4 linked regions of the Saccharomyces cerevisiae S288C genome follow. The gene in region 3 interacts genetically with the main gene of each other region. Each region holds a gene or a part of one and is shown on either strand. Other genes may lie near its edges. The genes, in order: FRM2, PSP2, DOG1 and RPL40A.

Region 1 (7,077 bases), on a different chromosome or scaffold from region 3:
TACTGGCACGATCCGGGCGCTTTCAATGGTAAACATGCCATTGACAGATTTAAAGGTGTTGCTGCAACATTAGTGACTGCTGCTTTTGCCTTTGGTGGTTCAGAGTTTATTGCCATCACCACTGCAGAACAATCTAATCCAAGAAAGGCCATTCCAGGTGCGGCCAAACAAATGATCTACAGAATCTTATTCCTATTCTTGGCTACCATTATTCTACTGGGTTTCTTGGTGCCATACAATTCCGATCAATTATTGGGTTCTACCGGTGGTGGTACTAAAGCCTCGCCATATGTCATTGCTGTTGCATCCCACGGTGTCCGTGTCGTCCCACACTTCATTAACGCCGTTATTCTACTTTCCGTGCTGTCCATGGCTAACTCCTCCTTCTACTCCAGTGCTCGTTTATTTTTAACTCTATCCGAGCAAGGTTACGCTCCTAAGGTTTTCTCCTACATCGACAGAGCCGGTAGACCATTGATTGCCATGGGTGTTTCTGCATTGTTTGCCGTTATTGCCTTCTGTGCTGCATCTCCCAAGGAAGAACAAGTTTTCACTTGGTTATTGGCCATTTCTGGTTTGTCTCAGCTTTTCACATGGACTGCCATTTGTTTATCCCATCTTAGATTTAGAAGAGCCATGAAAGTCCAAGGGAGATCTCTTGGAGAATTGGGTTTCAAATCTCAAACTGGTGTTTGGGGATCTGCCTACGCTTGCATTATGATGATTTTAATTCTTATTGCCCAATTTTGGGTCGCTATCGCCCCCATTGGTGAAGGTAAGCTGGATGCACAAGCCTTTTTCGAAAACTACTTGGCTATGCCAATCTTGATTGCACTTTATGTCGGCTACAAGGTCTGGCACAAGGATTGGAAACTGTTCATCAGGGCAGACAAGATCGACCTAGATTCTCATAGACAAATCTTTGATGAAGAATTAATCAAGCAAGAAGACGAAGAATATAGGGAACGTTTGAGGAACGGACCTTATTGGAAAAGGGTCGTTGCCTTCTGGTGTTAAAAAAAAAAGCATTTACTTCTTTTATATTTATTCATTTTTGTACTTCTGTTTTGTAGTAATAGCATACGTGTAATGATAGACGATTTTCATTTTAATTCTAGTCCTTTATGAGCGAAGAAAAAAAATAAAAAGCACTAACGATTGCGTGATGGAAGTGGAGAGGAAAATATAAGTGAAATAATATGAAGTGAGAGAAAAATGATTTCCTTTTGTTCTTAATGCAACAGAAGAGGTTTGATTTCATCCGCATATGCAATTTTGCCTTAGTAGGGGTGCAACCGTTTTCGTCGTGCATCAGGAACGATCTTCTTGCCTTTTTTAAAAATCTACGTTAAGAATTTTTAATTTTGTTAAGGTGTAATTAGCATTAGAATGACTGAAGCATTCAGTTTAACCAACTTGTTCTGCGATATTTTTACTTCTGAAATAACAATGTCTGCGAGTGTTACTTGATTATTAATCAATATTTGTCAATGCTCTTCCGAATAATTTTTCAATTTGTCAGCTTTGCTCTGCGCTTTTCCTTACTGCGACAATAAATGGCAAAGGAAAAAAAAATACAGTGTCATTTGCAGATATGACACACTTTAACACCTGAGTGGGTCATCACTACTTTGTGTTTGTCTCCACCCATGTTGTGATCGAAGAGAGATATAAAGGTTGATCATTTTTGGTTTTTTAAAGCTATATACACCATCAAAATCAAGAACACCAGACCTCCAAGCCAAAGAAATGTCCCCAACTGGAAACTACTTAAACGCTATTACAAACCGTCGTACCATCTACAATTTGAAGCCCGAATTACCACAAGGTGTCGGTTTGGATGATGTAAAGAGAACTGTACACGTTATTCTCAAGAATACGCCAACAGCTTTTAACTCACAAGTGAATCGCGCTGTCATTATCGTTGGTGATACACACAAAAGGATATGGGATGCTGTTGCGAGCGCAATGCCAACTGCTGAAGCCAAGAAGAGACCAGAGTCTTGCAGAGATGAGGCTTACGGTTCAGTCATTTTCTTCACTGATGAAGGACCAACTGAAAAACTGCAAAGAGATTTTCCAGCCTTGGCAGCCGCTTTCCCAACATGCGCCGCTCATACGACCGGTGCTGTGCAAATTCAGTCTTGGACTGCCCTCGAACTATTGGGATTGGGGGCTAATTTGCAACACTATAATGACTACGTCAAATCTGCTTTGCCTCAAGATGTTCCTATTGCGTGGACTGTACAATCTCAATTGGTCTTTGGTGTTCCAACTGCCTTGCCAGAAGAAAAGACTTTTATCAATAACGTAATCAACGTTTATCACTGAACAGGAAATTCGCATATGAGGAGATCTTAATTTATCTCATGAAGTAATGATACCTCAGCGATGTGCTCGCTCGTTAGTATGCTTCATAAATTCATTATTATTTTTTTTTGGAAGTGTTTTTCGACAAAAGTTGCATTTTTACGAAGGATATGTAAACTCAAGAAGTACTAAATAAATATAAATACAATTCGAAAATTTGAAAAAAGTAGGAGACAACACTTTCCTTCCTCACGAAGAAGTTAAGCTTGGGTTTGTGACTTACTAACGTCAACGTACAATCGCGTTACAAACAAGATGCTTGCATTCTTACCTTACATTACAAGGACTTAGACGAAGAAAAAGTTCAGAAACACTGCTTACACTATTCACCAGACCCGCTCCTTCTCCTAACATCAATAACGAACAGCACTATTGATGTAAGAACGTCTTAGCTTAGTAATAAAGCTCTACCTTGTTATCGTACAATAATCCAGTATACCGCTTTTACTAATGATTATTCGAGAAAAATCGGACTGTGGCGTTTTACGTGAAAATTACGTAAAGAAAAAGATCCTGGGGTGCCTCGAGCTTTTCGGGCTAGGGTCTTGGCATTTGCACCTTGTCCAAACTACAGTATATAAGGACACCATACTGAAGGAACTGACTACATAATTTGTACTTTTTTCGTAGACTGAAGTATCCTATATCAACATATATACAAAAAAACAATCCAATATCATGTCTGCTGTTGCAACTTATTTGAAAACTTTAACTGCTCGTCGTACTATTTACGCTTTGAAACCGGAGTTACCTGGTGAAATTACTATCAACGACATCCAATCCGTCGTCCAAACCATCATTAAAGAAACACCCACCGCTTTCAACTCCCAGCCAAATCGCGCTGTTATCTTGACTGGTGAAACTCACAAAAAAGTTTGGGACGAAGTGACTAAGGCTATAGAAAGCCCTGCCGGTCAAAAGAGGCCTGCTTCAGCAAGGGATGAGGCCTTTGGTTCTGTAATCTTCTTCACCGACGACAAGGTAACTGAAAAGCTAAAGGCTGACTTCCCAGCGTACGCAGCTGCATTCCCTAGTTTCGCGGACCATACCTCTGGTGCCGCTCAAATCAACTCGTGGGTTGCCTTGGAGGCAATGGGCCTGGGTGGTCACCTACAACACTACAATGGTTACATAAAAGCTGCTTTGCCAAGCAAAATCCCTGAGTCTTGGACCGTACAAGCTCAATTAGTCTTCGGTACCCCAGCCGCACCTCCAGGTGAAAAGACCTACATCAAAAACGATGTTGAAATCTTCAATTAAGGAACAGTATATAAGTACAGAATTATAGGTATAGATTAAATGCGAACGTCAATATTATTTTCATCAGTCGTATTCTTGGAGACAGTCACCAGGCACAATGCCTCTATCTTCATTGAGGTATCTTTTATCGTCAACACTGACGTGAATAGAACCCTTTTGTGTATTACACTTTTCTACCAGACACCATCCATCGGTATGAGTGGCCAGAATTTTAACTTTTTCACCCAGCGAGATTCTTATTTCGTCTGTCAATCTAGGCTCGTAATCCTGAATAACTGTATATGTCTTCCCTAATTGGACGCTAGCCTCCCCATTATATTTGGAGTTTGGAGTAAGCGGCAATGGTTTAGAACGTGACAAATGTTGTAAATGCTGATACATTTTACTTTGTCTTCTTTTTTTCCTTTTCTTTAGTGGTTTTGATGGGGTGGGTATTATCAACTCGTGTTTCTCAGTGCTTTTATTGCAGTCATGATGATCATTGAAGTTGGTTTCCAAAGTTTGTTGTGCAGTAGTACCGTATATCACTGAATGGGGTCTTGCCGTGATTAGATCGATGTTATTGTTGCGATAAGATGTGATTTGTGAATCTGGCGTGGTATTACCCAAGTTATTCACACTGTCATTTGCATCCAGAGGCGTGTTATTATACTCCAAGATGGGCGATCGTTCGTCAGGCATTATATCTGACTCATTGAAGTAACCCTTACTTATCCGGGAGAGCATTTTCATTTGCTTCAGTTGTGGAGCCCCAGTTGGGGTCTTTAAAGAGGTCTTTGATAAGCCATAATCCTTAAAGTATGTAGAACCCCTCAAGAACCATCGAGATAGTGGAGATTCGTAACTCCATTTCTCACTCGTTTTTAACGCAGTTTTCTTTGAGGACACCGTTTTTTGAGAAGGTAAATCATTATACGAGGGCATGCTGGATTCAATATGGACAATATTCGGTGGTTTAGTATACAGGAATGCATCCACAACTTTCTCTTCCTCCATTTCGTTCACTTTGGGGTCTAACGAAATGTTTTTACCAGACCAAGCATATGGGTTCTTCACCGTTTTCTTAGGTGTCAGTATATGCTGCGGTATTATGGGTTTGGAAATTTTGTACTGTATTTTTGAAGACATGTTATCACCCGAGGTCCACTGGGTGTCGTTATACTTCTCAATATCACGATTAGAATATGAATTCTGATCCTCACACTTACTCTGCCAAAATAACCGTGAGAACCAATTAGTGCGGCGACAATATTCCTCTTCCCTTGGAATCGTAGCTGACATGGGTGGATTTGAAATGGACACCGAATTCCTTTTAAGGTAGAAATAACACAAAAGGATAAGTAATCCGAAACAGAATATTCCGATGGGAAGTCCGATTGAAAGCCCAATTGTGCTTGCTGAAGATGATTTTGGCTGAGCCGCCACATTAGAAAAGAGTAGATTAGACGGTGTAGAGCGTATTGATGTCGCTATTGTCGTTACTGTTGTTACACTCGTCGAGGAACTAGCTTGCGAAGATATGTAATTTGATGCTAAGGTAGTAGACATTGCGGCGACTGTCGTCAGCACAGTTGTTGTCGTCTGCATTATTGTTGCTACCATTTTGATTTTCAGAAACTTGATGGCTTATATCCTGCTCTTAAAGGAAAAAAGATAAAGGATGTCGTATCCAAATATTTTAAGAGCAACACATACCTTACAAAGCCACTCTTACATTGTCATTTAAATAAAACCAATCCCGAGAATTACGTTATTTGTTTCAAATTACAGACGTTTCATGTTTGTTTCATCATCGCACCAAAATGAGACAGCGCGAAAAGTGACAGTGCAATTATGCCATTCAATACGTCAAAAAGGGCATCCTGCAGAGATACAACTCTGTTTTGAAAGGGTCCACATGGTAAATATGGAAGCAAAAGAAGGATTGAGGCATCACTGACAACAAAATTGTCTTGCAGCCCAATTAATAAAAAAAAATAAAGTTATATATATAAACAAATACGTAAACAAAGGATAGAAGGCGAACTGAATCATCGTTCAGTAGCGGTTCTGGTTGCCGTTATTGTTCTGTTGAGAAAAGTTGCCAGAAAAATTGAAGGATTCGTGCTGTCCATTGGAGTTCTGGTTTCCGCCGTATTGCGGTCTTCCGTACTCATTGGATTGCTGTTGACCATTCTGTTGCGGTCTACCATACTCATTAGCCTGTTGCTGGCCCCCATAACTCGAATTTGAATTGGAGTTATTGCCCAGGTAGGAACTTGCCATGGAAGCCAAAGCTGAGAATGAACTGGAGTGGCCTTGTTGCTGCTGCTGACCCTGTTGTTGATGCTGATAGTTTTGGCCTTGTTGCTGGTATTGCTGCTGGTTGTTTTGGCCTTGTTGATTGTATTGCTGTTGGTTGGATTGAGTTTGTCCACCACCTAAGTAAGATTGAGCCATGGAGGCCAATGAGGAAAAAGCACCACCAGATTGTCCCTGTTGTTGTTGGTAACCACCGTTGCCACCTTGGTACTGTTGATTATTGTAACCTTGACTATTTTGGTTACCGTTTTGATAGGATTGGTTATAGCCCTGTTGACTATTGTTGGAGTTCTGATTATTATTGGAATGCATAAAAGAGCTTGCCATAGAAGCCAGTGCTCCAAAGGAGGAACCACCGGAGCTTTGATTTTGACCTTGCTGATTATTGTTGTTGGAATTCATGAAAGATGAAGCCAAAGACGCCAAAGCAGTAAAAGAACCTTGACCTTGACCTTGTCCTTGACCTTGACCTTGACCTTGACCTTGTCCCTGACCTTGGGAATTGTTACCTGACTTAAAGAATTGAGAAGCCAAGGCAGCCAGGCCGGAAGCACCCATACTTTGGCTCCCGCCGCCAGAACCACTTAGCATTGACATGACAGTCCCTACGTCAAACCCTCTGTTAGAAGAACCTTTATTTGATGAGTGTGTCATCACTGTGGCTAACAAAGCTAGTTTTCCTAGTTGCGTTTGGGAAGAACCCTTAGAGTCTGCCATTAAAGTGTTCATAAAAGATGAACCACCACCAGCAGCACGATCTTGCGAGGCGTCACTACCACCACTACGGTTGTCCATGACGTATCCTGCGATTTTTTGAATTAATGATTCAATAGTTGACATTTGCTCGTCATTGGGGTTCGACTGAGCTGCGGATGTCAACTTCGCAACAGCTTCTGCATGGTTTCCTTGAGAAAAATGAGACTCAGCCTCTGAGATTAACTTATCCGTATCCATTTCAGATCTTTGCTATACGTTTGTATCGCTATATGTACGTTCTTTTAATGAACTTTCTCCTTTCTTTATCGTGTAGCTTGCTTGGGTATCTTTTAATGAGTTGCGGACAGTGAGATTTTTCAGAAGGGCAATTGGCCAAGACACCAAAAACGTTTGGACGAGACAGGCATCAAAGGACAAGGTAAAAGGCGT
Region 2 (8,791 bases), on a different chromosome or scaffold from region 3:
TCTTATTGAAAATTCTTTTGGCCTCTGTTTTGTTAGTCTGGATACTGAAAAAAATGTTTAAGATTATTAAATCACACAGGAATGAAATTGTTATTAGAAAAATTATAATATACATTCTATATAGGGAAAAATTTCTTCTGACTTTGAAATTTAGATGCTAATAGTTTTTTTTATTATTTCTATTTTTTTTTTTTTTAAGATCAGTTGTTTGCTGCTGGCACCTCCACTGATTCGTAATTGCTAGCCGTTATTGAGTTCTCAAAATGTTCCTCCTCAGAGCTTTTGTTAATGATGAAAAATGAGCCTAAGATGAGGGTAGCACCAAATAAATAGAGCGCAGACATGGTTTTGTGCTTAAAGATTACATCACCAAACATTGCTAGGGGTATCGTTATGCTCAATCCTACGGTGACGGTTAAAGGACTCGTTAGTAACATAGCCTTTGCCCAACAAAAGTCGCTAACAAATGTGATGAGACAATTGACGAAGATTATTACCACAACTTTAGGATCTTTGGGCAGAGAGAATGGTTCCCAGCCAAAAAAGTCCAATACAATCAGTGATGGCCATAGAAAAAGTAAATTAAAGAGACCAACAAAGCCAAAAAAAATCTTCATGTTAACACGAGTCTCATCTCCGACTTCTCTCTTCAATAAAGTACTGTAGACACCGTAAAGTACAGCACCTGCAAGTGCCAACAAGTTGCCTATCAGAACTTGCACGGCATCGTTATCATCACCACTAACGTCCGCGATATGGCGTTGGTAGCGCTGATGAGAATCTGATTTGGTGACCATGATTATGCCTACAAAGGAAATGAACGACCCGAGTACTTTGGACTTGCTCAACGATTCAACATGACAAATAGCACCTATGAACAAGGTGAAAAAGGAAGAAGTAGTGGAGAGGATTGTCTGCGATGCCACCGATGTGAATGCCAGCGAGGCATTGGTCACAAGGTTAGCTGTGAACCAAAGTATGCAGAACTCAGCACTTAACTTGATTGTTTCATATAACGTTAGCCTCTTCTTTTGGTTGGCATGCGTGCCTGCTTCAAGGTTTGTAAGCAGTGGGCTAGTCATATCAACCGAGCGATTGCTATCACTACCAGTACCTTCTTCCTCCATAATTAGTTCGCGGTGAACGTTTGCACGGCCTGTGTCCTTGTAATTCACCACAACGGCCTTTGCAGTTGGAAAAAGATAAAAGATAAAGGCGGCAGTATTGGTGTACGTGATAAAGAATGGTTTTCTATACGAGTCATCCTCGAAGATCAAATTTATCAGGAAGGACGATAAAACCCACAAAATAATGACTAGACCCAACATCAGAAGACCCAAGGTCCACCTCTTATTAAAGGACGTTTGATCCTTCGACACCATGGCTCTGTTGAACTTTTATCTGAGAGAGGAAAAAAAGGAAGGAAAAAAAAGAAGAAACTTCCTTTATTTATTTGTCTTAACCACAACACACAATGCAATAAGATGCAATATAATATCAAAGCCAATATCTTATGTTGCTGATCCTGAGAAGGAATATATACAATTTATGTAGTAAAATACCTTTTCTTCTGCGAGTTGCAAGAAATAGAAAAGACTCCGATTGCGCATCGCCAGAATAAAATTTCACAACCACACTTTTTGGCTGAACTTTTTATTACCTGATTAAACAGAGAGAGAAAAGGTAGAGGTCAAAATTTTTTAAGCAAAACTAAAAAAGATGCAAAATCACGTGCTGAAAATCTAACATAAGGGTTAAGATTAGAGTTTTATAGGACTTGTTTTGTAATATTTCAAATACGAGCTAACCCTACTGATTTCAATTAGGTCTAATTTAGGGTTGAGCTGCACTGAAATTTCGGAAATTTTGGGTTATTTTAAATGAGACAGAAGAACTACAGAGATACGTTCTTCAGACTTTAAAGCTTATCTCCACAAAGAATTGGTCAAGAAATCATCCTAGAAAAACACGTTTGCTCACTCGATCTTAATCACATAGAGTGCTGGAACGGGAAGAAATGGGTATGTGCCTCGGTTTTTCTCATTAACCCCTTTTGATCCATAACGGTCCTCTTTTGTTTCCTTTTTTTTTTTTGTTTTAGTATTTTATGTTTACTATTTTCTTCTGTTTCAGTCATACGTAGGAATTATTGCATGAAAGAGGATATAATATTCATGTGGATTTTTAAGAAAATAGATCAAGTTTAAATAGCCACTAACAATTGAACAATGCTCTCTCTTGGCCTCTTTTCTTCTTTTTTATCGTTTCTCTAAAAATCAAGCTGATTAGACATGGTCTTGCAATGTTTTTGCTTTCTCTAATCAGCTTGGTTTTCCGCAAAGAAGAGAAAGTCACGGAATTGTCTACATATGTTTCTATTCAGGAACAAATAATACATCTAATAATAATGGCACTACGAAGAAAATGTCCCTAGAAGAATTTCTAGGGAACGACACTTTAGGCGAGTCAGTATGGGATGAGGAAGATATTAATTTGGATGCTATAAGCAATACTACGAATATTGACATCTTGAAACAAACCAAGGCAGGCGAACATCAACGTGATGGTCACCAACAGCACCCACACGGTGGTCATGGACCCATGAACAGATCACGTTTTTCTAATGCAGGGCCTTTTGGTGGTGGTAGCATGGGGGACTTTGCAAATCATCACCACCCGCTGCAGCATCAGCAAGGTCCTCCTTATATTGTGAAGTTTTCTGATTTACCACCGAGATTTTCCAACTTTGACATTGAAGATCTTTTTCAAGCAAAGTTTACCAAGTTTATTAAGTTCAAACTGTTTTGGGAGATAAATAAAAATCCAAGTATTTCTACTTTGAAATCGGGGTCAATCTTTGATCAAAATTTCAAACGTGACTCGAAGGTAGCATTTGTCGAGTTATATACATCCCGTGATATGGACAAAATTTTGAACTATTGGACCACTCCTTTGAAGGAAATTTACCACATTACAACAGCGCCCGCAGAATTCGAAGATTTTAAGGATTACAGCACGAAGGTGAAATTATTAACAGACCCTAAAGACGATGCTGGCAAACCATTCATTACTAAGACTCAGCGGTCAAAATCCAATCCTTTTGGAAGTGCTAAACCGGTTGATACGCAATCGAAGATTTTGGACATTGAAGAAAAAATGGAAAATTTACACGTGGAAGATACAACAACCCTGAGGGCATCATTAATCCCTAGTAGTGATTCTATGGCAACCACTGCAACAGGCAGCAAGATCACAATCTTGAAAAAGCAGACACCTACAGAGGAGGAATCACATTCTGCAACCCCAACTCCCAAACCTTTAAGTTACTCTGAAGTAGTTGAGAGATCTGTGGTCAATGAAACTTCCAAGAAAGGAACTCCATTAAGCAAGCTTGACTCACCAGCTCTTGAACTACAATCTAAGCCCGATAAATCGGACGAGTTCAAAGGTGGCGATGAACAAGGCTTTGAGAAAGGTGGCGACGATAAAGCTCAATTAGATGTCTCAAATGATAAAGATAAAGGTTCAGAAACCGATGTTGATAAACAGTTCACTTTCAAGAATGTGGAAAGGGAACATAGTATGAGCAGAACCAAATATAACGGAAACCATAATAACAATAATGGCAATTTTAGAGGGAGTAATAGATATCGTGGAGGCCCCAATGGCAGCAGTTATAAAGGTGGGCATAACAATCGTGGTAATCGCGGCGGATATCGTGGTGGCAGCTCATACAACAACAACAACAACAACACTAATGATAATAATAATAATAATAATAATAGTAGTAGTAATAATAATAACGGTTCAAGATATCATGATCGACAAAACAATGAAGAAGGGTTAACCTCGGATTCATCTTTAGATGCCTCAGGAAATAAAAAGAATGATTTCACGAACTCAACATCCAATACACAACAATATTCCATTTTCAAACCAGCAAGTGGGTTCCTTGGCCAAGGTAATAATGATTCTATAAGGAACAATGGACGCGGTAACTATAACAGCAGCGGTATGAATGGAGGTTCGAGAGGAAGAGGATTTGGCAGAGGAAGGGGATTTGGCAGAGGCGCATATAACAATCGAGGTAGTCGTGGTGGACGTGGAAGCAGCGGTAACTACTCCAACTACAATAACAGAACAACAGACATGCCTTTATGAGTCATGTACTGACCCATTAATTTTCTTTTCTCTTTTTTTTTTTTTTTTTTTTTTTTCCTCTATTTCCTTTTTTTGTTCTAGTCGGTTACGCAGTTCTGAGTAATGTAATATAGCGTTCCTTTTCCTCTCAGATTTTTTTGACCTTATTTTGTTTCCACTTTTTACTACTTATGCTGCTTTTTGTCCATTTCCCCTTCAGTTGTTTTGAATTTTTTTTTTAAAAAAAATTCGTCTTTCTGATTAATCAATTTTGATTATATATTTTCTCTTGATTAGTTCACAATTTTTATAGGCCCTTATTTCTTAAAGAAGTTTTATGAAGTTTCGTAAGTATTGGGGGGGTTGAAAATAATCTCTCACGTTATACGCAATAAAAAATTAAAATTAAGGAGAACCAATCTATAGAAACGAACCATTGAATTTAGCTATATGACTATATACCATTACGTAATTTATATAAACAGCTTAATATAGCGAAAGCAAAGTAGAACGAAATTTCGGAGAGTTCTAGATTGTATAGAGCGAATGAGCATTCAATACACACGCGAAGGCAGTAGGCGATGAAAGGAAGTTTTTTAATGTCATTAAGAAAAAGATAGGGAACTTCTATTTCCTGTCTTTCATATATATATATATATATATATATATATATATGTGCATATGTACATCGTTGAGTTGTTCATGAAATAATGAATATAATACTTCTGGATTTTTTAGTCAGTAAATTTACTGTTGAGATTCGTTATCATTTGTGATGCTTGTTTCCATCATTTGCTGTTGTTGATTAGCCAGTTTTCTTTCCTGTCTACCTTTCTTCATAACTTGCTTCAAAGCTGCACTATCTAGTGGATCTAACAATTCAAAAGAGCACAATAAACCTTCGCTGACGCTCATTACAGCCCCCCAATTATCAAATTCACCACAATAATTTGGCGCGGAAAACACCGTAACGAGACTTCTATCATTGAAAAATTCATAACCGTCTTCCACAACCATGTGAGCTCTACAAACCAAATCAAACCCAAACTTGTTCAAGAATTTGTTAATTGCCACCTTATTATAACAGTAACTTACACCACGTTCGTTATCCTCCCATTCGTTGGGTGAATCTGTGGGATCGGACCACAAAAGATCATTAATTAAGCCAAAATCTGGTACATCAGTAGGCCTAACTACATGTCTGATTTCATCCATAGAATTTAAAACTGGCGACAATCCACCATGAACACAAAAAATCTTTCCGGCTACGATAGCAGCTAATGGTAATGTATTAAAAGTATCGATGAATGTCTTCCAGATCTTGATGTTACAACGACGTTTACATTCATCATAAAATCCATAAACCCTTGTGACGTTAGCACATTCATGGTTGCCTCTCAATAAAAAGAAATTTTCAGGGTATTTTATTTTGTAACAAAACAATAGTAAAATAGTCTCCAGTGACTGTTTACCACGGTCCACATAATCACCTAGGAATAAATAGTTCGAGGATGGTGGGAACCCACATTTGGTAAAAAGCCTTAAGAGATCCCCATATTGGCCATGAACGTCGCCTACAATTTTTACAGGAGGTGATAATTCTAATAAGGAAGGTTGAGAAAGAAAGATTTCACGAGCCTTGATGCAAATCTGTAAAATTTCATTGTTCTTCAAACAAACATTTTTTGTTCTCTTAGCAGCGTAGCCCGCATCCAGTAATTTTTGGATAGTTTCATCAATATCGATAGGCTTTTTGAATTTTTTTGGAGCGTTTTTGTTTCCGGAAGATTGCATTATATCATTAAATTCCTCATTCGGATCTTTTTTGCTATCTGTTATATTATTATTTTTATCATTAACATTTTCCATTGATGCATGGATATTACTCAATTGAGATGAATTTTCAATGTCATCATCATTGCTGATGTGTTTGCTCGGGTAAATATCGCGACTTGAATGGTGATTCAATGAGGAGGTTGAATTAGAGGTAAAGTATTCACCAGAGTGATCTGTTAGCTTGGACAAGCCTGGAGAGTTTAATGGGGTGCTGTATGCGGTATTACCATCTGATCCAAACGAAGATTTCCTACTGTGTAGCGAAGATGCATGAGAATTTGACCGGGTTAATGCCTGAACGAGATAATTCTCCTGATTGTTAGAGGAGTATGATCCATTGTTAGGCTCTTCATGGGTCACATCTGATTTCCTTCTTGACACTGATCCGCTTCTTATACTGGACGGACGAGAATTCGAAGATCTAGAAAACCTTTTAGTGTGCGAGATGTCGTTGTCTTTATCATCATTGTCATCATCGGTTAAGGCGTTCTCATAATAGGTAGATGAGTATGAAGATTTATGCTTGGATACGTGTGTGCTACTATTGTTTGTTTTTAAAATGGGTGACTTGGGTTCCATTTGGATCATTGAAGGTGGTAAATCAGCAGCAGCCTTAGTATTATAACTTGATCTTCTAGAAGTAGAAGGCCTCTTAGTAGAGGATGATGAAGGAGTAGTTAACAATTCGTTTTGAGAATTTGAATGCGAGTGTGAGCTAGATGGGAAATGGTAACGATTCGTGTGAGAGCTATGTCGTTGGTGATTAACCTCAAGATTGGGCTTTGATGGAGTGGAGGGATCAGGGACGTTTGAATTAGTATTCGTAGTGGACGAAGAAGGAAGAGATCGCCTTGATCTTGAAGATTTATTTGATTTTGCAGACTTCACAGAATGGGAAGTCTCGGTTCTCGACACTTGAGGACGAGGATTTCTCGAGGAGGAATTCGAATGTGAATCCTTTTTCGAAGATTTTGAACTTGAATTACCCATTTTGAAAAGGAAGGAAAGATAAGCAGAGAGTGGTTGATTTGTTGTTTTATGACAAAGCCTCTAGGGGAAAAGAAGCGACTATAACGATGAAATAAAAATAAAACGATAAAGAAAAGTATAATCAAATGTATTCCAAAGAAGTACTTTTATATATAATCTTTATATTTAACTTGAAAGAAAAAGATTTAACATGTATTGCCAAAACAAACAAAACTAATAATGGAAGCTATTGTATTGTGCTTTTATGTTACCCACCTGCCAATGGTTCACAAGAGAAAGCTGATTAACAGAATTAGAAGATCTGCAGTAATCGTTTTCTTTTTTTTTTTTTCATTAATTTATATGCTATCCTTTTAAAAATAGACATGTCATTTCAAACGACATGTTAAAAATTATATATATGTTTATATATAGATTGATATATGTTGGAGCCGTTGGACAATTATGGGCAGCTATCTGAACATGGATCCCTGCCCTTCTCCTTGAGTTCTCCAGTAAGCGTTAGGCAAAGTGTCCGACTGCAGACGGTAGAGTCTCCACGCCTCACGGATGTGTTCGGGCAATAAGGGACTGTTGTTATATTTCTCGATGCTTACATCTAGTTTGTTGAATTGGAGGACGAGCTTATTGTACTGCTCGATGAGTTGTAGCTTCAAGTCCTGTGAATTATGGTCTGATTGCTGTAAGGATTTGGACTGTAGCAACGAGTTGCCCAGCGTAGTTTCGCGCTTGTCTACTTCTTCATCGTCGAAGTAGAAATCAGGTTCGTCTTCGGGAACGCTATCGGATTGATAATCTTGCTTGTATTGCTGGTTTTCTATGATGGAGAAAGTCAATTTTTTTAGATATTTTTTCAATTTATAGCCTATTTTGGTCCTCTTATCAAACTCTATGCACATTTGACTTGTCAACCACTTATTCTTCACAATCATGGCCAATTCGATTATCTCACCAGCGTATATTTTTCCCACCGCTTGCAGAAAAACACGAATATTTTCACTTATAGTTTGATTAGCTACTGTGCTAGCCAGTTTTTTGACCTGGGTTTTGTTTAGGGATGTTCTATGGAAAACTTCAAACCGATTAGTTTGATCTTTATCCAAGTTGGTTACCAAGAGCTTGAATTGTTCGTCCTGCGCAAGTTTTTCATTTTCATCTTCGTTGGTATTGGTGTCTTCGTAATTGCTATTTTGTGTTTGCTGTTGTAAAATGTCTTGTGGAAAGATCAGGTTTTCTGGGACTTTGTTGATAGAGTCCGGGTCTTGCTGATTTATCCTGGTTTTCTGGTATTTGTATTTTGGATATTTATTTAATTGGTTGTTGATTGATGTACCACCCGTTCGCAGGTTTTGCAATTTCCACGTAACGTAGTCCTGGTCCTCACTGATGACTTGGTCAATCATTTGTTTTGTGGAAAAATAGTTTGCTATTGTCAGTATTGGCGGATAGTTCACTTTCGGGATGGTGTCCAAAGGACCTTGAGGTTCGGTCATCGTTGCGCTGTTGAAGCTCAAACTTACTTTGTGCTCTTCATTTATATGGATAATTATCTCTATATACCTCTTCTTGATTTTTCAATTTCTTTCAACTTTTCAGTCGAAGAAATGGGAATAAGAGAAAAAATTCGGTAATGAACTGAACAGAGATGAGGTCTCGAAGAGCCAAGAAATAAAAGGTTAAGAACCAACATGGAGATAAACCAAGCGGCTGAAAAAGAACAGGAGTATGTTCACAAAGTGTATAATGAGATAGCTCCGCATTTCTCGCAAACTAGATATAAGCCATGGCCCATAGTGACTCAGTTCTTGAAGACTCGCCCAATGGG
Region 3 (7,141 bases):
CCGTCATAGTCTCGATTTTTATCTCTACATATGGTGAAGGAGACTTCCCCGACGGGGCGGTCAACTTTGAAGACTTTATTTGTAATGCGGAAGCGGGTGCACTATCGAACCTGAGGTATAATATGTTTGGTCTGGGAAATTCTACTTATGAATTCTTTAATGGTGCCGCCAAGAAGGCCGAGAAGCATCTCTCCGCCGCGGGCGCTATCAGACTAGGCAAGCTCGGTGAAGCTGATGATGGTGCAGGAACTACAGACGAAGATTACATGGCCTGGAAGGACTCCATCCTGGAGGTTTTGAAAGACGAACTGCATTTGGACGAACAGGAAGCCAAGTTCACCTCTCAATTCCAGTACACTGTGTTGAACGAAATCACTGACTCCATGTCGCTTGGTGAACCCTCTGCTCACTATTTGCCCTCGCATCAGTTGAACCGCAACGCAGACGGCATCCAATTGGGTCCCTTCGATTTGTCTCAACCGTATATTGCACCCATCGTGAAATCTCGCGAACTGTTCTCTTCCAATGACCGTAATTGCATCCACTCTGAATTTGACTTGTCCGGCTCTAACATCAAGTACTCCACTGGTGACCATCTTGCTGTTTGGCCTTCCAACCCATTGGAAAAGGTCGAACAGTTCTTATCCATATTCAACCTGGACCCTGAAACCATTTTTGACTTGAAGCCCCTGGATCCCACCGTCAAAGTGCCCTTCCCAACGCCAACTACTATTGGCGCTGCTATTAAACACTATTTGGAAATTACAGGACCTGTCTCCAGACAATTGTTTTCATCTTTGATTCAGTTCGCCCCCAACGCTGACGTCAAGGAAAAATTGACTCTGCTTTCGAAAGACAAGGACCAATTCGCCGTCGAGATAACCTCCAAATATTTCAACATCGCAGATGCTCTGAAATATTTGTCTGATGGCGCCAAATGGGACACCGTACCCATGCAATTCTTGGTCGAATCAGTTCCCCAAATGACTCCTCGTTACTACTCTATCTCTTCCTCTTCTCTGTCTGAAAAGCAAACCGTCCATGTCACCTCCATTGTGGAAAACTTTCCTAACCCAGAATTGCCTGATGCTCCTCCAGTTGTTGGTGTTACGACTAACTTGTTAAGAAACATTCAATTGGCTCAAAACAATGTTAACATTGCCGAAACTAACCTACCTGTTCACTACGATTTAAATGGCCCACGTAAACTTTTCGCCAATTACAAATTGCCCGTCCACGTTCGTCGTTCTAACTTCAGATTGCCTTCCAACCCTTCCACCCCAGTTATCATGATCGGTCCAGGTACCGGTGTTGCCCCATTCCGTGGGTTTATCAGAGAGCGTGTCGCGTTCCTCGAATCACAAAAGAAGGGCGGTAACAACGTTTCGCTAGGTAAGCATATACTGTTTTATGGATCCCGTAACACTGATGATTTCTTGTACCAGGACGAATGGCCAGAATACGCCAAAAAATTGGATGGTTCGTTCGAAATGGTCGTGGCCCATTCCAGGTTGCCAAACACCAAAAAAGTTTATGTTCAAGATAAATTAAAGGATTACGAAGACCAAGTATTTGAAATGATTAACAACGGTGCATTTATCTACGTCTGTGGTGATGCAAAGGGTATGGCCAAGGGTGTGTCAACCGCATTGGTTGGCATCTTATCCCGTGGTAAATCCATTACCACTGATGAAGCAACAGAGCTAATCAAGATGCTCAAGACTTCAGGTAGATACCAAGAAGATGTCTGGTAATCAGCCCACTGATCAAGCCTTCGGCGCGGTTGTTCAACCACACGATCTGTATCAAAGAAAAATAAGTTAGATAACCAAAAAAAAAAAAAATTTCATACTCACTATAAGAAATCATACGCAGTTCAACTTTTGCTTTTACATACAATTTTATCTATATATTCGTGCTTCTGCGATGTCCTTATTTATTTAATCTCTCGTCAAAGGGTTGTTTACCTGGATAACGATACCGTTCTCATTGTTCTTAACCACGGAAACCTGTGTCAAATCACAGACCACATAATCTGCACCTGCGTCAAATAAAACGCTCTTATCATACGAGGATGTTATACCCACAGTAATTGCGCCCATTGCTTTGCCGGCCTTTATGCCCACGGGTGCATCTTCAAAGACAACATACTTCAGATCCTGTTTACCAGTTAATTGCAAATCTTGACGCAATAAATCACGAGCTCTTGAGTAACCCTCGGGATCAGGCTTACCGTTCTTCACGTCAAATCCAGTAATGAAAACTTTGGGCTTTCCAACATTTTTCAATATTGTCTCGAACCATGAAAATGCCAAATATGGAGAACCAGAGGTAACGATAGCCCATTTCCTTTCAGGTAACTTTTTTTGAGTCTCAGTATCTACATCTAACGATAACAATAAATTCTCTGCACCAGGGATAAGGCTTACTGTGTCCAAATAATTATCTGCCATATCCTTTTCTAACGCAAGAACACCTTTATTATCGGTATTGTCCAATTTTGGAAAAAATTTCTTCATCATTTCTTGTGATCTTGCACCATGGGAATGCTTGAATAACTCAACAGGATCAACCCCATGCTGACGGCATAATTTTTTCCAGGCACTTTCCGCTGCAGTTGTTGTGCTGACAATAGTCCCATCTAGGTCAAAAAGACAAAGATCTACTGAAAATTGTGGCATTTTTTTTTTTTATTTTTTTGACGTAAATTTTTTATGTATATAGCAGTAAATGTATCGATAACGTGTTGGCTAATACTATAGTGAATAACAAAAAGTACTCTTAGTCTCCTTTTAGCATTTGTTTTCACCAAAGAAGATGTTGCCAGCGCATTTTAAGTTTTTGAAAAATCCTCGAGAATTACCCCTTCCCCACATTTAAAAATAATGACGGAGCGTATTCAATCTACGGAACTATTCTCTACGAGAAATAATAAGATCATTACGTAGTTCTTACATCCTGACGCAATTGTGATTAAAGATAATGATACAAAACTGAATACAAAGCATTCCAACGAAATACAGTTGATGGAAGTGTTTTGCGCTAAGGAAGATTAACATATAACCACACAACCATCTTCGAAGAAAAACTCAAAAAAAATCTTACCTCTTCAGTACCTAAAATGACATACATAATTCGACTTTTTGCTTGTCCATATGTTTTACATCTATATATATTCGTTCTTTTGTCACATTTTTGTTTACTCAGGCCCTTGTCAAAGGGTTGTTTACCTGGATGACAATACCGTTTTCATTGTTCTTAACCACGGAAACCTGTGTCAAATCACAGACTACATAATCTGCTCCTGCGTCAAATAAAACGCTCTTGTCATACGAGGATGTTATACCCACAGTAATGGCGCCCATTGCTTTGCCGGCCTTTATGCCCACGGGTGCATCTTCGAAGACAACATACTTCAGATCCTGTTTACCAGTTAATTGCAAATCTTGACGCAATAAATCACGAGCTCTTGAATAACCCTCGGGATCAGGCTTACCGTTCTTCACGTCAAACCCAGTAATGAAAACTTTGGGCTTTCCAACATTTTTCAATATTGTCTCGAACCATGAAAATGCCAAATATGGAGAACCAGAGGTAACGATAGCCCATTTCCTTTCAGGTAACTTTTTTTGAGTCTCAGTATCTACATCTAACGATAACAGTAAGTTCTCTGCACCAGGAATAAGGCTTACTGTGTCCAAGTAACTATGGGCAATATCTTTTTCTAGAGCAAGAACACCTTTATTGTCTGTATCATCCAATTTAGGGAAAAACCTTCTCAAAACCTCTTGTGTTCTTGCACCATGAGAATGCTTAAATAACTCGGAAGGATCAACACCGTATTCGTAACACAACTTGGTCCATGCTTTCTCTGCGGCCACTGTTGTACTCACTATGGTACCATCTAGGTCAAAAAGACATAGATCAGCTGAAAATTCTGCCATTATCCTTTGAACTTCTTACGTGAGTGGCAACGTAACCAACAATCTCCATCAGAACGTTATTTCCAACAGAATAATCGCGATCATTAAAAATGAAAATAAAATTAAATAAAATACTTGCAATAAAAAAGTTCCATGAAATTTATATCATTAGATGGTACCAGAGCCTATAATCTCATAGATATACGCTTCCTTCTATAGCTGAACAACGGTTGTTTGAAATGTCGGGGTTAATGTCGGAATATATAGGAATACTCTGACGTGTCTGTATCACGGAACATAACCGTGATTGAAAATTACAAGAAGCCAAGACTCTAAAGGATATGCGGTAGAAGGCGTGTGTAGAAGAGCCCAGTGTATATTTTTTCACCGATAAGATGAAGTAGATAAACGGAATTTCTGGCAAGTTACTTGGCAAAAGGATACATAGCACGAATTACTTTATTATAAATATTGTAACTGATTGCCTTGAATTGATGTTAATGAGAATCCTAGGACCCTTGGTTTGGTCATTAGCTTTTCGTTTTTCTTTGCGCGTCGTTAAGAATGAAAAAGTTCTAATATGTATCGTATCATAAACGACAGCAACTTCGAGAAGTACATTGAATGGAAATCATTCTGCAACACCTTTATAGCTTCAACATAGGTTAAGTTTTAAGCATTTCAAGTGCTTTTCAATTAAGCTATAGAAAGTTCTTTCGTTAGAAAGAAAGACAGTTAAACAAGCGGCAAAAGTTGATGAGCAATGAATTGGTCTTTTCTACTACAGCTGGTAATAACAATATTGTTAATTGTGCTGGGCGCCAACTGGTTGCTAAGCTCTTTTCTACTTGATTTTAAGAGAGATTTAACAGGGGTGGCTTTGTCACAGCAATCTAGCATATCCAGTGTTCGTAAAGAAAATGAAACAGCATATTATCGAAGCATTTTAGTGCCCACAGGATTCCCATTGACGACAGGATTAGGGCTATCTTTAAAATACAAAATAAGAAATGGCAATTTCGGTGATGTTTGGAATGCCATAATGGAAGTTTCCAAGGGAAAAAACATAATTAAATTTACAGGAAGAGAAAAAAGTTATTCGTTGAGTGAACTTAATGGTATGGCCAAGCGCATATTTCCGAAACTTTCCAATAAGAATTTCAAAAATATCGGTATAGCTAATTCTATTGCTACCGTAGAGGGTTTTACTCTCTCCTTGGCTTCCATGATGACCTCTATAAGAACAGGTTCAATACCTCATTTCTTGCCAGCTGTTCCTAGACAACGACTAGAAGATGTTGATGTCCTGATCATCGACTCATGGAAGTCTTTTAAGATGCTAAACGGCAGCGAGGATTGGTACAAGCTTATTGTTGTTTGCGATGATCCTATCGAATCACTACAATTTGATGCGAACTGTGATGTTATCACTTGGAAAGAACTTATCGACGGTTTTACCAAGGATACAGAGTACCAATACACCCCGCCAGATGACAACTCTGATGATAAGAAACTTTTTGCATACGTAACTTCACCATGGAATGGAACTAATAGTTTTAATCAAATCTGTCTGGTGAGTAATATAGCGGAATTCATCAAAGGGTTCCCCTTGGGAAATGAATTGAATAGTAATGAATACCTAACCATTTCGACAAAATTGGCAAATTCTAGTGCAAGCCTACAAATTTGGGGAAAGCTTTTTGCAGTTTTGCTGCATGGTGGGTCTGCATCTTTCATCAATCCTACAACGATAGATTGCGAGTCGTTGCAAGAAACTACGTTACTGTTTACCGAAACAAAGGATGTTGTCAAATTAATTGATTCTAATTCTAGAAGTGGGCTGCTGAATAAAATCTACTTATCCTGGGCCACGAACTTACTGAGCGAGGGTATTTTTACGAAAATTGCCAGAATCGAGCCACATTCTCTTGAAAAATTAAGATGTGTTTATTTGGCAGATAATGTGAAAGATGCTGAGGTTATTTCGACATTTCCTGAAAAAATTCCTCAGCTAAAAAAGACTAACCGAAGAATCACCCCAAGCACTGAACAATTGAATAAAATAAGAGCTCAATTAGGATCCCGTGTAGTCCTCGAGTTATATTGTCCCTACGCTATCATGGGACCTGTGGCACATACCAATTTTTATGACTATAGGGTTTTTGGAAAATCTGTGGACGATAACGTTGTATGTTATGGAACACTAAGTACAACATTAGAAGGAAAAATGGTAGAAACGGAAACAAACCCTCATTTGAACATAGAGAAGAAGCAGGGTATGTTATGTATTCGTGGTTTTAGCATAGGTAAACCAGTAGAGTCCGATCGTTTAGAGAAAGCTTTGCATTTAGCTGAAAGGTTTGGAGGAGGTGAAGGATGGATGCCTCTAGTTGGCGTTTTTGGACTATTTGGCCAAGACGGTTGCTTATACATCTATAATCAATGAGCATTATCTATCGCTTTATTATTTATTATTTATTATTATCATTATTATTATTATCATTATTATTATTACTACCAATACCTTCTATATCCCTGTGATCAGCTAAAATGATTCAAATAACTGTCATTTTAATCGTACATTTTATATTAGGCCTAATGTGCTGACGATCAGTCATATTTCAAATGGCCATCAACACAGTTCCAAAAGTCTGTGATATATTTTGTTTGTTCGTCACTTTCGTTATTAATTGTTCCCCTCACAGCCAAATATGTCCTATTGTCGACATCAATACTCCATTCACCTGGATTGGCACCTACTACACGACCGCCCACTTCTTTCAAAATACACCATCCAGCACACACGTCCCACGAATAGCAACCACCATCCCAATAACTATCAAGGTACCCCATAGCAATATATGCCATTGTCATTGCAGATGATCCTAAATTTCTGAATCCATGAACAAAACCGTAATCACATGATAGTAATTTTTCATATGTGGCCATTTTTGTCTGAAAATTCTTTCCCTCTCTAGCGGAACCTGGCTGTAATGCCACTACGGATTTATTTAGTATTAGAGAACCCATAGATTCCAATTTTGATTTATAGTCATAGTCCTTGTTGTTAACTCTCATCCCATTTCCTTTAGAAGCGGATACCAGAAGATTAATGTGAGGATTATATATAACGCCTACTACGGGCTCTTTGTTTACTGTGAGCCCAAGAGAGGTACAGCTAAATGGGAAATCATGAACAAAGTTTGTAGTCCCATCAA
Region 4 (7,180 bases), on a different chromosome or scaffold from region 3:
TAGGTATATTGACGGATCCAGTACTAAATAGCACCGACTATTTGATGTCTATGTCTTTACCTATTTTTGCCAATCCTTCTATTATCTTGACTGATTCAAGGGTTTACGGATACATTACTATAATAATGTCGGCAGAGGGTCTGAAAAGTGTGTTCAACGATACAACTGCTTTAGAACATTCCACAATTGCCATTATTTCTGCAGTATATAATAGTCAAGGCAAAGCTTCAGGGTATCATTTTGTCTTTCCACCGTATGGATCACGATCAGACCTCCCGCAAAAAGTTTTTTCTATAAAAAATGATACATTCATTAGTAGCGCATTTAGAAACGGGAAGGGAGGGTCTTTGAAACAAACCAATATCCTTTCTACACGGAATACTGCTTTAGGCTATTCACCATGTTCGTTTAACCTAGTTAATTGGGTCGCGATAGTTTCACAGCCTGAGTCGGTTTTCCTTTCTCCAGCAACGAAACTAGCAAAAATCATCACCGGCACTGTCATCGCTATTGGTGTCTTTGTCATTTTGTTAACCCTTCCTCTAGCACACTGGGCAGTGCAACCAATTGTACGTCTACAAAAGGCAACTGAATTAATTACAGAGGGGAGAGGCCTTCGACCGAGCACCCCAAGAACGATAAGCAGAGCCAGTTCATTCAAAAGAGGATTTAGTTCTGGATTTGCTGTTCCTTCTTCGTTATTACAATTTAATACTGCTGAAGCTGGCAGCACCACAAGCGTAAGTGGCCATGGAGGCAGTGGCCATGGCAGTGGTGCAGCTTTTTCAGCAAATAGTAGCATGAAAAGCGCTATAAACCTTGGAAATGAGAAAATGTCACCTCCAGAGGAGGAGAACAAAATACCGAATAACCACACCGATGCTAAAATATCAATGGATGGCTCGCTAAATCACGATTTGCTTGGACCACATTCCTTGAGACATAATGACACTGACAGAAGTTCCAATAGATCTCACATTCTCACAACTTCTGCAAATTTAACTGAAGCTAGGCTACCAGATTATAGAAGACTATTTTCTGATGAACTTTCCGATTTAACAGAAACCTTCAATACTATGACAGACGCATTAGACCAACATTATGCTCTTCTAGAAGAAAGAGTTAGGGCGAGGACAAAACAACTCGAAGCTGCCAAGATTGAGGCAGAGGCCGCAAATGAAGCAAAAACCGTCTTTATTGCCAATATTTCGCACGAATTGAGAACGCCTTTAAATGGTATTCTGGGTATGACGGCTATTTCAATGGAAGAAACCGATGTTAACAAAATAAGAAATAGTTTAAAACTCATTTTTAGATCAGGTGAGCTTTTGCTTCATATTCTAACGGAATTGTTAACTTTTTCCAAAAACGTTCTTCAAAGAACGAAACTGGAGAAAAGAGATTTTTGCATTACCGATGTTGCCTTACAAATAAAATCGATATTTGGTAAAGTTGCAAAGGATCAGCGTGTTCGTCTTTCAATATCATTGTTTCCTAATTTGATAAGGACAATGGTTCTTTGGGGTGATTCCAACAGAATTATTCAAATTGTGATGAATCTAGTGTCCAATGCACTAAAGTTCACCCCTGTAGATGGTACCGTTGATGTAAGAATGAAACTGTTGGGTGAATACGACAAAGAATTAAGCGAGAAGAAGCAATACAAAGAAGTGTATATCAAAAAAGGGACAGAAGTAACCGAAAATTTAGAAACTACAGATAAATACGATCTTCCAACTTTATCGAACCATAGGAAAAGTGTCGATTTAGAATCCAGCGCTACTTCCCTAGGAAGTAATAGAGACACTTCGACAATTCAGGAAGAGATAACAAAAAGAAATACTGTTGCGAATGAAAGTATCTATAAGAAAGTGAATGACAGGGAAAAAGCTTCGAATGATGATGTATCTTCTATAGTATCAACAACTACCAGCTCGTATGATAACGCTATCTTCAATAGTCAGTTCAATAAAGCACCTGGCTCAGATGATGAAGAAGGTGGTAACCTAGGAAGACCTATCGAAAACCCCAAAACGTGGGTTATTTCTATTGAAGTGGAAGACACTGGGCCTGGTATTGACCCTTCCTTACAAGAATCTGTATTTCATCCATTTGTTCAAGGTGATCAAACATTGTCCAGGCAATATGGTGGTACTGGCTTAGGTCTATCAATCTGTAGACAGTTAGCAAATATGATGCATGGAACGATGAAATTAGAGTCGAAAGTAGGTGTTGGTAGTAAATTCACTTTTACCTTGCCATTAAATCAAACTAAAGAGATCAGTTTTGCAGATATGGAGTTTCCTTTTGAGGACGAATTTAATCCTGAGAGTAGAAAGAACAGAAGAGTCAAGTTTAGTGTTGCTAAAAGCATCAAGAGCCGACAATCCACATCATCTGTTGCAACACCAGCTACAAATAGAAGTAGCCTAACCAACGACGTGCTACCGGAGGTAAGAAGTAAAGGTAAGCATGAGACGAAAGATGTTGGAAATCCTAACATGGGAAGAGAAGAAAAAAACGACAATGGAGGGCTTGAACAACTGCAGGAAAAAAATATTAAACCTTCTATATGTCTTACAGGTGCTGAAGTTAACGAACAAAATTCCTTGTCTTCTAAGCATCGTTCTCGACATGAAGGTCTAGGTTCTGTCAATCTTGATAGACCATTTTTGCAAAGTACTGGTACAGCCACATCAAGTAGAAACATCCCCACAGTCAAAGACGACGATAAAAATGAAACAAGTGTCAAAATTTTGGTTGTAGAAGATAATCATGTAAATCAGGAAGTTATCAAAAGAATGTTGAACTTGGAGGGCATTGAAAATATTGAACTGGCTTGCGATGGCCAAGAAGCATTCGACAAAGTTAAAGAATTGACATCTAAGGGCGAAAATTATAATATGATTTTCATGGATGTCCAGATGCCTAAAGTGGATGGTTTACTTTCTACCAAGATGATAAGGCGCGATTTAGGTTATACCTCACCTATTGTCGCTCTAACCGCTTTTGCTGACGATAGCAACATTAAAGAATGTTTGGAATCAGGAATGAACGGATTTTTATCGAAACCAATCAAAAGACCAAAATTGAAAACTATTCTTACTGAGTTTTGTGCAGCATATCAGGGAAAGAAAAATAACAAATGAACAACCAAGAATAGTAAGAGAAATCAAAAGCTTGCGCGTAATACCACCGCTACGCGTTGACTTATATGCATAATATACAAATATACTTAAAAAAAAAAAAACAACATTATAGATTCCAAAGTTATGAAACTAAGAAAAGTATATTGTTTTCTTAAGTATATTGTATGAATTAATATTATGATTTTAACAGTAGGTATGATAAAAGAAGATGTACATTAAAGTATACAGTAAATAAATGTATAGATTGATTGGGCGAAACAGATCATTTTAACTTCTTCTTTGGACGCAATTGGTTGGTGTGACCACACTTTCTCTTTCTACAGTTGGTAGCTCTTGGTGGCAATCTAGCATAACACTTACGGCAAACAGATTTGTCACAGTTGTACTTGGAAGCCAAAGCTTTCAAAGATGGTTCAATGATACCACCTCTCAATCTCAAGACTAAGTGCAAAGTGGATTCTTTTTGAATGTTGTAGTCAGACAAGGTTCTACCGTCTTCCAATTGCTTACCAGCAAAGATCAATCTTTGTTGGTCAGGTGGGATACCTTCCTTGTCTTGAATCTTTGACTTGACATTGTCAATAGTGTCAGAAGATTCAACTTCCAAAGTGATGGTCTTACCAGTCAAAGTCTTGACAAAACTGTTAAAAAAATAATTTTATAAAAAAATGACAAGTTAGTAAGGATATCATAAAAACACGTAATAGTTTTTTCATAACTGTTCGGAAGAAGACAAAATTTTAAACGAGCTCTCATCGTCATATCTTGGGGGAGAGCATGAACCACAAATTTGGATATTTCTTAGGCAATGAGACTGTTAAGTCGCATCACCCGCTCAAAATCTAATCATATTTTCCACAAGTCACTGTACATTCACTAAGTCATTCCTAGAGAGGAAAGTTCCTCATATTCAGTTTGGCAGTTTTCTTTGTTTTAATTTTTGATGGATAAAAAATTTTGTAGACTTTACAGATACGATGTTATTCCACTGGGTAAAAATTCAGTTTCTAAAATAATTGTCCCTTTAAGCTCTGAACGTTCGAAAAACTATGTTTAGAATGGATATGGTGCATACATTTGCATGTTTGAATCTTGGTCGTCTCAACTATGGGATAATAAGCGGTAATAACAACAACAAATAGAGATTCAACTACCTTTAATTTCAGATATTCTTGATACACCTTTGGTTGGAATGTATGCCTCGCTAGAAACTGGAGAAGGCCGTCCTGAGGCCGGAAACCATCTCACCCTCAGGGAGGCAATCGGAGGTCCTGTCTAGAGAGAAAAGAGTACAACAAAACCCATCCCATAGGAGGAATATGCTCCGCCTATGTCCAGGCGGAGTGCTAAGAGGTTCCGCATCTTTTCTGGTTTGCTCCACGAAATATCGACACGGAGCACAAAAATAGAAAAACCATACATCTTAGTAATGTACGGATGTAATAAACTCAAATTGCAGTCAATAAACTTGTCGATAGCTTACCCGGATATTGCATGGAAAATTTACTTCACCATAAGGGAAAAAGACCAATATTCGTTAATGAACAGTGGATATTATAGAATTGTTGGATAGAGTTGATCGATAATTGAAGATAATAGAAGAAGAAAACAATATCGGCGTTAAATTGCAAGCGCTTATTTCTCTGGTGGCTTTTCTTTTTCTAGTGGAAGTTTACCAAAAGAAATTTAAGGCGAAAGAACACTGGGCGGAAGCAAACCGGCAATGGAGGACAAAATATCTGAGTTTTTAAATGTTCCATTCGAATCACTTCAAGGTGTTACCTATCCTGTCTTAAGAAAGTTATACAAGAAAATAGCCAAGTTTGAACGTTCTGAAGAGGAAGTGACAAAACTCAATGTTTTGGTCGATGAGATCAAATCGCAGTACTATTCAAGGATTTCAAAACTTAAGCAGCTACTAGATGAATCTTCTGAGCAGAAGAACACAGCTAAAGAAGAATTGAATGGCTTGAAAGATCAGCTGAATGAAGAACGTTCCAGATATAGGCGGGAAATAGATGCACTAAAAAAACAATTGCATGTGAGCCATGAAGCTATGAGAGAAGTAAATGACGAAAAACGAGTTAAAGAAGAATATGACATTTGGCAGAGTAGAGATCAGGGGAATGATTCTTTAAATGATGATTTGAACAAAGAAAATAAGCTTCTTCGAAGAAAGCTGATGGAAATGGAAAATATACTACAAAGGTGCAAGTCCAATGCTATATCATTACAGTTAAAGTACGATACCTCAGTACAGGAAAAAGAATTAATGTTACAAAGTAAAAAATTAATTGAAGAAAAATTATCATCTTTTAGCAAAAAAACGCTAACAGAAGAAGTCACAAAATCATCGCACGTAGAGAACCTCGAAGAAAAACTATACCAAATGCAATCCAACTATGAATCTGTCTTTACGTACAATAAGTTTTTACTAAATCAAAATAAACAATTATCCCAGTCGGTGGAAGAGAAAGTACTGGAAATGAAAAATTTGAAAGATACCGCAAGTGTGGAAAAAGCAGAATTCTCCAAAGAAATGACTTTACAAAAAAATATGAACGATTTGCTACGCTCACAACTAACATCATTGGAAAAAGATTGTTCCTTGAGAGCAATAGAGAAAAATGATGATAATTCCTGCAGGAACCCTGAACATACTGATGTGATAGACGAACTTATAGACACAAAATTAAGACTCGAAAAATCAAAAAATGAGTGTCAAAGGTTACAGAATATAGTTATGGATTGTACCAAGGAAGAAGAAGCTACAATGACTACGAGTGCAGTTTCTCCCACAGTAGGTAAACTATTTTCTGATATCAAAGTGCTGAAAAGACAATTGATAAAGGAAAGGAATCAGAAATTTCAATTACAGAATCAACTGGAGGATTTTATACTAGAATTAGAGCATAAAACCCCTGAACTGATCTCTTTTAAGGAAAGAACAAAATCATTGGAACATGAACTAAAACGTTCCACAGAACTACTAGAAACTGTTTCTTTGACTAAGCGTAAGCAAGAAAGAGAAATAACTTCACTGAGACAGAAGATAAATGGCTGTGAAGCAAATATTCATTCTCTGGTGAAACAACGTTTGGATTTGGCCCGTCAAGTTAAACTACTTCTTTTAAATACATCTGCGATACAGGAAACGGCATCGCCGTTATCGCAAGATGAACTGATATCATTAAGAAAAATACTGGAGTCGAGCAATATCGTAAATGAAAATGATTCCCAAGCCATCATTACGGAAAGACTGGTTGAATTCAGTAATGTGAATGAGCTACAAGAAAAAAATGTTGAACTCTTGAATTGCATTCGGATTTTGGCTGATAAATTAGAAAATTATGAAGGAAAACAAGACAAGACCTTACAAAAGGTAGAAAACCAGACCATTAAAGAAGCAAAAGATGCAATAATTGAACTGGAGAACATCAATGCGAAGATGGAAACCCGGATAAATATCCTATTAAGAGAGCGGGATTCTTACAAATTGCTGGCATCAACTGAAGAAAACAAGGCCAACACAAATTCTGTCACTTCTATGGAAGCAGCCCGTGAAAAGAAGATTAGAGAACTTGAGGCAGAACTTTCATCTACAAAAGTCGAAAACTCTGCTATTATTCAGAATTTAAGAAAAGAGTTGTTAATTTATAAGAAATCACAATGCAAAAAAAAAACAACTTTAGAGGATTTTGAAAATTTCAAGGGTTTGGCAAAGGAAAAAGAACGTATGTTAGAGGAAGCAATAGACCACCTAAAAGCTGAACTCGAGAAACAAAAATCATGGGTTCCATCATACATACATGTTGAGAAAGAAAGAGCCTCAACTGAACTGTCACAGTCTAGGATCAAAATCAAATCTTTGGAGTACGAGATTTCCAAACTGAAAAAGGAAACTGCCAGCTTTATACCCACGAAAGAATCTTTAACTAGAGATTTCGAACAATGCTGCAAAGAAAAAAAAGAATTGCAGATGAGACTAAAGGAGTCTGAAATCAGTCATAATGAAAATAAAATGGATTTTA

What was found.
Region 1: mutations in DOG1 (region 3) and FRM2 together harm fitness more than expected from each alone (negative genetic interaction), as found in Saccharomyces cerevisiae (one large-scale study listed by BioGRID).
Region 2: mutations in DOG1 (region 3) and PSP2 together harm fitness more than expected from each alone (negative genetic interaction), as found in Saccharomyces cerevisiae (one large-scale study listed by BioGRID).
Region 4: mutations in DOG1 (region 3) and RPL40A together harm fitness more than expected from each alone (negative genetic interaction), as found in Saccharomyces cerevisiae (one large-scale study listed by BioGRID).

The regions. Positions count from the first base shown.
Region 1 is NC_001135.5:69,958-77,034, reverse strand, and holds FRM2 (type II nitroreductase), read left to right. Parts: upstream 1-1,749; coding exon 1,750-2,331; downstream 2,332-7,077. Other genes in the region: amino acid transporter AGP1, read left to right, coding at 1-1,017; HBN1 (putative nitroreductase), read left to right, coding at 3,049-3,630; FUS1 (Fus1p), read right to left, coding at 3,694-5,232; prion domain-containing protein RNQ1, read right to left, coding at 5,668-6,885. UniProt on the Saccharomyces cerevisiae protein: Type II nitroreductase, able to reduce 4-nitroquinoline N-oxide (4-NQO) into 4-aminoquinoline-N-oxide (4-AQO) via 4-hydroxyaminoquinoline (4-HAQO), using NADH as reductant. involved in the oxidative stress response.
Region 2 is NC_001145.3:234,571-243,361, forward strand, and holds PSP2 (Psp2p), read left to right. Parts: upstream 1-2,017; coding exon 2,018-2,021; intron 2,022-2,383; coding exon 2,384-4,161; downstream 4,162-8,791. Other genes in the region: YML018C (uncharacterized protein), read right to left, coding at 201-1,382; PPZ1 (salt homeostasis regulator), read right to left, coding at 4,888-6,966; TATA-binding protein-associated factor TAF11, read right to left, coding at 7,419-8,459; TRM9 (tRNA (carboxymethyluridine(34)-5-O)-methyltransferase), read left to right, coding at 8,655-8,791. UniProt on the Saccharomyces cerevisiae protein: DNA polymerase alpha mutation suppressor. Suppressor of group II intron splicing defects of a mutation in MRS2. May play a role in mitochondrial mRNA splicing.
Region 3 is NC_001140.6:190,865-198,005, forward strand, and holds DOG1 (2-deoxyglucose-6-phosphatase), read right to left. Parts: upstream 3,945-7,141; coding exon 3,204-3,944; downstream 1-3,203. Other genes in the region: NCP1 (NADPH--hemoprotein reductase), read left to right, coding at 1-1,754; DOG2 (2-deoxyglucose-6-phosphatase), read right to left, coding at 1,941-2,681; DDE1 (Dde1p), read left to right, coding at 4,687-6,369; inositol monophosphate 1-phosphatase INM1, read right to left, coding at 6,534-7,141. UniProt on the Saccharomyces cerevisiae protein: Phosphatase that is active on 2-deoxy-D-glucose 6-phosphate (2-DOG-6P), as well as on fructose-1-P.
Region 4 is NC_001141.2:65,760-72,939, reverse strand, and holds RPL40A (ubiquitin-60S ribosomal protein eL40 RPL40A fusion protein), read right to left. Parts: upstream 4,233-7,180; coding exon 4,225-4,232; intron 3,791-4,224; coding exon 3,412-3,790; downstream 1-3,411. Other genes in the region: SLN1 (histidine kinase), read left to right, coding at 1-3,149; MLP2 (Mlp2p), read left to right, coding at 4,873-7,180.